2 linked regions of the Xenopus tropicalis genome follow. The protein of the gene in region 1 purifies or fractionates together with the protein of each later gene. This does not show direct contact. Links are inferred from orthologs where the notes say so. Each region holds a gene or a part of one and is shown in the gene's direction. Other genes may lie near its edges.

The links. Proteins that work in one complex are often made in the same cells at the same time.
Region 2: the proteins of spata5l1 (region 1) and timm13 purify together in Homo sapiens (co-immunoprecipitation; 3 studies listed by BioGRID and IntAct, with this or other methods). This does not show direct contact. The link is inferred for Xenopus tropicalis from reciprocal best matches to the Homo sapiens genes AFG2B and TIMM13.

What each region holds. Positions count from the first base shown.
Region 1 is NC_030679.2:104,572,836-104,576,486, forward strand, and holds part of spata5l1 (spermatogenesis-associated protein 5-like protein 1), read left to right. Parts: intron 1-784; coding exon 785-970; intron 971-1,184; coding exon 1,185-1,343; intron 1,344-2,710; coding exon 2,711-2,920; intron 2,921-3,651. UniProt on the Homo sapiens protein: ATP-dependent chaperone part of the 55LCC heterohexameric ATPase complex which is chromatin-associated and promotes replisome proteostasis to maintain replication fork progression and genome stability.
Region 2 is NC_030677.2:92,869,565-92,873,832, reverse strand, and holds the start of timm13 (mitochondrial import inner membrane translocase subunit Tim13), read left to right. Parts: upstream 1-1,409; 5' UTR 1,410-1,414; coding exon 1,415-1,537; intron 1,538-4,268. UniProt on the Homo sapiens protein: Mitochondrial intermembrane chaperone that participates in the import and insertion of some multi-pass transmembrane proteins into the mitochondrial inner membrane.

The sequences.
Region 1 (3,651 bases):
TGATATCAATTATGAATGTAAAGTAAATAGTGTTAAAGACACAAAAGCCTTTATTCCTATTATCTTAAAATAAACATCGCTAAAAAAAGATAGAAAAGATAAGAAGGAAAGTTAAAAAATCGAATTCACACCCTGAATCTCAATCAAATGTAACTGACTCACTCGTGGATACTATTACTTAAATTGTTTCTTTAGTATCACCAATGACTTGTGTTGGCAACATATGTAACATGTGCATAACTAACGCACCCACAGTAAGAGTTGTTACATATGTTGCCAACACAAGTCATTGGTGATACTAAAGAAACAATTTAAGTAATAGTATCCACGAGTGAGTCAGTTACATTTGATTGAGATTCAGGGTGTGAATTCGATTTTTTAACTTTCCTTCTTATCTTTTCTATCTTTTTTTAGCTATGTTTATTTTAAGATAATAGGAATGGTTATATTTTATTGAATCTAACAGGTGTGCCAGTTTCTTTTTGTGTCTTTAACACTATTTACTTTACTCCAAATATACATACTGAGCACCCTGTATTTAAACTGTAGTGCAAGGTTTTTCTATTGGGATATCAATTATGAATGTAACTGCTCAAACATGAATTAAATTGGGGAGGAGTAATACATAATGTATTATTAGTGAATTATTTCACACAGTAAAATGCTGAGAGCTGAACAGCATGAGCAAATGTTATTGCCAAATTAATCATCTGACCTCTTTCTATTATATAATGCAAAAGTCTTTGATGGTATCATGAACATCTGTTTTTCTGATATTTTTAAGGTAATCATTGGAACTCCTACTCATAAGCAACGGCAAGCTATTCTGGAAATGATGATATCAAACATGCCCACTGATAGAGATGTAGATGCGGCAGCCTTGGCAGATGTGACAGTGGGATATGTTGGTGCCGATCTCACTGCCCTGTGCAGAGATGCAGCTATGCAGGCTGTACTTCAGGCCAGTTTGGTAAGATGTTGTAGTAGATTTATTGTAATTAGAAGTAAAATCATTTACTACCTGAGCAGAATCCAGAGCCTTATATTCAGATCAAATGTCCTATATTATAGGTAATGTAAGCCAACACTCATTTAAAGCATTGTGCTTCTTGTTTTCTGTTATTGAAATATAACTCTAACCCTTGGTAGCATTAGAATCCTAACATTGTTTCCTTGCCTTTCAGGACAGTCTGTGTAATTTAGTGAGCAGAGCACATTTTTATGAAGCATTTAAAAGGATTCGACCCTCTTCCGCACGAAGCTCAATTGGTCGGGTGGAGTTTAAGCCAGTTCATTGGGAGCATATTGGAGGTCTTGAAGATATCAAGCACAAGCTAAGACAGGTTATTATGGGAGCAAGGAGATCATTCCATTGTAGCTACTGTGGACTATGATACCTAGAATTGAGCAAATACTTTGGGAATAATGTTTGAAATAATACTAGGGAAAAAAAAAAGGAAAATACCCCTTATATTTAATGTTTATTGTATCCCATTCTTAATCGCAGGCAACCCACAGGTAAGCACATCTTACATTACGAGCTATAATTCATAATTTTTATTTCTATGGGTTGAATGGCTCATTAAATTGTGAGCTGTTGTAGAAAACTTTATAAAATTGTCTGACAAAGTTCTATGTGTGCAACGGCTAGGGGGGAGCAAGTTTGACAGTCTTTACAAAAGTATTGATGACTGGATAAATAAACCAATTTAGAAGCATTATATTAAATGGATCCGAAAACAATTTGTAGCAGGCGACTAGTCTCCCTGGCTGCCACAGCCCTTAAAGGGGGTCTCCTGTTACTTTTGGAAAACTGTGGAAGTATCTTAGTTAGGGTTAGTCATTTCAGTTGGTTGCCAATAAATTAGTGTTTTCTGTGCTCAAACATCTTGAGCAATAACAAAGGTGTTCATGTTTTGCTGGGCATTGACAATGTAGTAGGAAGGAACTAAAGTATTTAAAAGTGGTCAAATTGCATCAGCGGTTTATTCTTCATGTTCATAGATAGTTATATTGGCAGATTTGTCTTAGCATTTTGTTACAACGGCTTTTATTGTAGAAACACAGAACAACCACTGTGACATTAGCTGAGAAGTTAAAGCAACAGTAACACCAAAATGAATACGTATCTAGGTAATTCAAATATATATATATATACTGTTGCACTACTTCACTGGTAAAAGTTGTGTATTCTGTTCAGAAACACTATTATCATTTTATATAAACAAAGCTGCTGTGTAGTCATAGGATCTGTCATTCCCATTGAAATGGGGCTACATGGCATAGGTTAGATATCAGATAACAAATAAAAAAAACAGTTATCTGTTATATAACCTTATATATCCTTTTTCCAGCTCAAATGGCTGCCAATGTGGCTAAACAGCATCTTATTTATATAAACTATAGTAGTGTTTCTGAAGCAAAAATACAACTGTTACCAGGGCAGTGTAGCAGTACATTGTATTTTTATTACTTTAAAACCTTTCATTTTGGTGAGAGATGTGTGAACCTATTTATATGGAAGCAGCCCATGAGCTGAGGGTGTACACAGGATTAAACATGATAGTTCCACTGTAAATGTTTCTACTTTGTTATACCATATTCTGTTCTGAAAAACACAAGGACCTGGCTAGCAAAAGCACTCTTATTTTGTACAAGCAAACCTGGATAATTATGTTTTATAAAGGTAACAGTATGCTTGTACTTTCAGAGCATTGAGTGGCCCATGAAGTATCCAGAAGCTTTCAGTAGGATGGGACTCACACCACCAAAAGGAGTTCTACTGTACGGGCCTCCTGGATGTGCCAAAACCACATTAGTAAAAGCTGTGGCAACAAGTTGTCATTGCTCCTTCTTCTCTATCAGCGCAGCAGATCTTTTCTCTCCATATGTAGGAGACTCTGAAAAGACTTTGGCACAGGTGATAATACATTAAAAGATATTTTGCCTCTTGCTCACATTTCCTATTTTGTAGAAGCATGAAAATTCTCAATTTCTTATAACTCGTGCTATTTTATTTAAAGGGGCAGTTCACGTTTAAGTTAACTGTTAGTATGTTCTAGAATGGCCTATTCTTAGAAACTTGCCAGTTGGTCTTCATTTTTTACTTTCTAATTACTTAACCTTTTTTATTTATTTTATTTTTGACTAGTTTTTTAATTATTTTCTGCCTTCTTCTGATCTTTTAAGTAGGGGGTCACTGACCACGGCATGCAAAAAACTAGTCCTTGCGATTTTATCGTTGTTATCTCCTATTCATATTCTAGTTTCTCATTCAAACCACTGTCTATGTGCTTAACTAATTTGGCAACAATATATACTTTGTTTTTTGAAGATTCAAACCAAAAATATGAATTATAGATTTTAGTAGGGATGCACCGAATCCCGGATTCGGTTCGGGATTTGGGCTGAATCCAGCCTTTTTTCTTTAAGGATTCGGTTTTGGCCGAATCCAAGGGGGGGGGGGGGAAATTTCATTTAATAACCACATTGTTTTGATCCCAGCTGTATCCAGGACTGCAAAAGTTTAACAAGAAACCCTTTGCTTTAGAATATAACTGCTTTTTTTATATATTATAAAATACTGCTGCAGAATGTGTTTGCAGTTTGTTTAAATGCTAATTGTTTTGTAACCTGTATAACTAAAGTAAA
Region 2 (4,268 bases), on another chromosome or scaffold:
TATTTGCATGGAAAGGTTGCACTGCTTAGATCATAAGCAATCTACTCTCTCCACAAGTCAGGGGGGATCGCTGACACCTTGCCTGTAAAAGATGCTGCCTGCAGAGGAATGACGTTAGAAGGAAGGGGCATGTCCAGAAGCACTTGTGTGTGACTATGTCAGATTTCTCATCAGGAAGGGGAGGGAAAAGGCTGCAGAGAGACAGAGAAAATGGGTATTAAGATCAGTTCAGCCTTACCTTTCTAGGTAAATATGTTAAAAGCGGTTCATTTTCGTTCGAAAAATTGCAGATATGATTTAAATTAAAAAAAAAATGTTTATTTAATTAAAGTGTTTTAAAGGTGGACATTGCCTTTAATATGCACATGTATGTAATAGCCATGTTCCATTATCTTTCACAGATATATATATAATAATTGAAACAGGCTGTCTGCCTAAAGCATAGGTGTGTTATTAAACCAGCAATTTGGATCAGGCCTGGATTTGTGGGAAGGCCACAAAGGCCTGGGCCTAGGGCAACATACCTCCTAGCCTTATCTATAATTTTTTGTTTGTACAGACACCCATATAATTGGAGACTGGACACCAGGTGCGTAACTAGGGTACACCAGGCCCCCATTCAAAAAAATATTTGATAGAGCTCGGCACACACTTGGACACCCCCCCCCCCCCCCCCCCGCCCCCTAACCTGCCCAACCCACTAAGCGCCCCACACTGGAGTCTCCCGCCCACCGCAAGTAGGAAAGTGGCTGTGAAGGGGGGGGGGATTTTTTCATTTTTATAGAGGTAGCAGGCCCCGCGGTCTGGGCCCCCCTGCAACTGCAGGGTCTGCTTCCACTTTAGTTATGCCACTGCTGGACACGCCTGAGATTGTGACAGTTATTTGAATCTCCTGTGCCCAGTCCTTAGTCAAGGCTAGGTAGGGTCCCTTTATACCCGACCCCAGGACCAAAAGGCTCCAAAGGGCAAGGGTCTTCGAACTCTCCTTTGCCTCATGGCTAGGGAGAGTCCCTTTCCCCCAGGTTCAGCCAAAGCTTCCCCTCAGGTTTCTTCAAGGCCAAAGTCCTGTCTTTTGTCAGGGAGAGACAGGAGCCTCATGGCCACACAGTCCTCCCCTTGGTTTGTGGGGCATACCCTTCAGGCAAAAGGCCGGGGCAGAAACTGTAGGAACTACATGTTTTACACGTTATTATTTTCTAGATAGCTCTGTCTTGGAGGCTTCTTATTTTTTCGATACAAGGTCTATTACTATAAATTCGAATAAACCTAAACTAATAACGCTACATGGTATAATAAACTACATTTACCGTGATGCCTTGCTTGCAGTAAATACGAAGTTCCGGCTCATGCGTAACAGGAAGTTTATCACACGTGTGTGTGACTTTGAGCTGCTGCCGGTCACAGTAACGTTGAAATGGACGGGTTCGGGGCTGACTTCTCTGTGGGGGGATCTAGCTCTGGGAAAGTTGATACCGGAGCAATAATGGAACAAGTTAAGGTGCAGATCGCAGTTGCAAACGCTCAGGAACTTTTGCAGGTAAAAGGGCTTTCTGGACAACCTTACTTTCACAGGACAGTAATTTTTTTTGTCTTGTCTTCTAGCTATGCCTCTTTTTAGACGACTTGTGGTCATATTTTTTATGTAAGTTTTCTGATGAATTATCTGCATCACAATGCAATCTTCAGAAGCTTCCTTAGAAGATACTACAATTGTGACAGCAGTCATTGCTGTTTTTTGGTGGAATACAAGATTTTAAGGTACACATAGGGGCATATTTATTATGCTATGTAAAAAAAACAGCAAGAAAATTTGCCACACAGCGCCAGGCTTCGCTGTGTAAAAAATAGCATAGAATCTGCTTAATTTTTTTTAATGTGCTTTTTCTTCCACCGGAACTTGTGTGAAATAATGACGTAGAATATGGCGTTCGGACGGCGATCTTTTCCGTTTATTTTACACAGCTTTTTACACTGTTTTTTTTGGCGAATTCATTTTACACAGCTTAATAAATATGCCCCATATTGTAGCCCAGGAGGTAGCTGTGCATTGCTGTAGGGCCATCTTGTTTATATTGATCACAGATATGCTATTTGAAGATCAGGTTTTGATTCTTATGTGGTGGGTCAACCCTATATTTACAGTGGGAAAATCGGCCTCTGTGGCCAAGCCTTGTCACATATAACTCAATAATTAGAACAGTCAATTTCACAAAAAGTACTCCTTTTTTCACAGTGTTTTTCATACACTTTCAGTGTATGTTTCTGTCGGTGTAGTGTCAAGTCATACTGGCTTAGGGGTTGAAGCATTTTTCAATAGGCAATTTTTGTTAATACAGATTGGGTGCATATTTTGTATGGTATTCATGTTGAGAGTACTGTAATTTTTGCTTTCAGATAATCAATTTAAAACCCCAGTGGGCTTGTGTAAGGGCATAATTTATAGAGCACTTTTCTCAATGGGGCTCTAAGCACTTTACAGCAATTATAGGCACACTATGGGGCTCATTTACTAACCATCGATTTAAAATTTTAAACTCGATTCAAATTTTTTTCCAAAAAATTCACAGAATAAAAACACGACTTCTGAGATTTACAATGAGTCTAAAAGGCTAAAAATCAGAATTTGGCAATTTGGCAGATTAAACTTGCCGAGTTCATGTAGAAGTCTAAGGCAGAGGTCCCTTACCTTTCCTTAAAGTTCTTTCTGTGTTTTGTCCAAAAATCACTACTAATTTTTCAAATTGTCGCAGTGACAATTTGATAAAGTTGGGATTTTCACAGTGACAGTTTGCAAAAGTCTTCCTAAGTATTCCTAAGGATGCTGAAACACCAGAAGATTAAAGAAACAGGAACACCAAAAATCAAAGTGTTTTAAAGTAGTTAAAATATGATGTACTGCACTAGTACAACTGGTGCCTTTTTTTCAGAAACTTTACTATAGCTTATATAAACAAGCTGAATGGCTCCCCACATGGCTACACAGCAAGGCCAAAAAGGCACAGGTTACACAACAGATAACGGGTAAGCTGTGCAGACTCAGATTTGTATACTACAGAGTTTATCTGTTATCAACCGTGTGTACTGTGCTTGAATGGCTGCTCCCATGGCTACTGAGCAGCTTGTTCATATAAACAAAAGTAGTGTTTCTGAACACTGAGTTTTACCACTGCAGGGCATCAGTACATTATATTGCCATTCTTTAAGATCACTTTCATTTTTAGAGGTTACTGTTCCTTTAACTAACTTGTCCAGGATCACAAGAAATTGCCACAGGTAAAATCAACCTTAAAGGAGAAGGAAAGTCATTTTGGCATTTTATTGCCAATAGATTAGCGACATTAGTGCAAGCTACAACGCTATATTTATTCTGCAGAAAGCTTTACCATACCTGAGTAAGCAGCCCTAGAAACTCCCTCTGTTTATTTAAGAAAGCAGCTGCCATTTATCTTGGTCTCCACAGCTTCCTGCTGCAGCTCTAGCTGTTAGTAGCATATGTCACACATTCTGATGGGAGGGGGATTCATTCTTTTAAATTCTTTTTGGAGGGGAGAGCAGGAGAGAGGAGAAGAGCTGCACAGACTCCGGGCCCTGAATGAAGGACTTTTCTGAGAGGAAGTCAGATACCAAAGTATATGTATACACAAAAGGAGACAAGAAATCCTGTGTTTCTTTTTATAGAGGACTCTGTGAGTGCTTATGGCTGTATTTACATAGACCATTCTGATAAAGCTTACTAAGTTCTTAGCTTTCCTTCTCCTTTAACATCTTGGTCAAAGTGTACTACAGGTCTAGTTAGTTGTAGCAATCAATCAGCAGATAGCATTTACTGGTCTTCTGTTAAAAAGCAAAGTATCGCTAACCCCTAGCTAAAAATGCAGAGTAGCACAGCAGCGTACCTGGCCGACATCATCTTACTAACTTAAGAGACTTTGGGTCTCTCTGCCGATACGAACCTGCTTGCGCATGTGCAGTTAGAGGTAGCAGGAAATCTGCTTTAACTGTGCATCAGCAGTGAGACCCGAAGAGTCTTCAGTTGGTAAGCAGCTACGCTACTTTGCATTTTTAGCTAGGGATTAGCGATACTTTGCTTTTTTTTTTTAGGGGTTAGCGATACTTTGCTTTTTAACAGAAGAGTTACAGCATTTATGAAACTGGTTAGGTAATTGAGAGATATTTGTTCTTACAGTGGTAAAATAAACATTTGGTCACAAAAGAACTAGTAGTTTATGCATAATGTGCAGATTAGGTCTCCTGTTATGGAGAACATT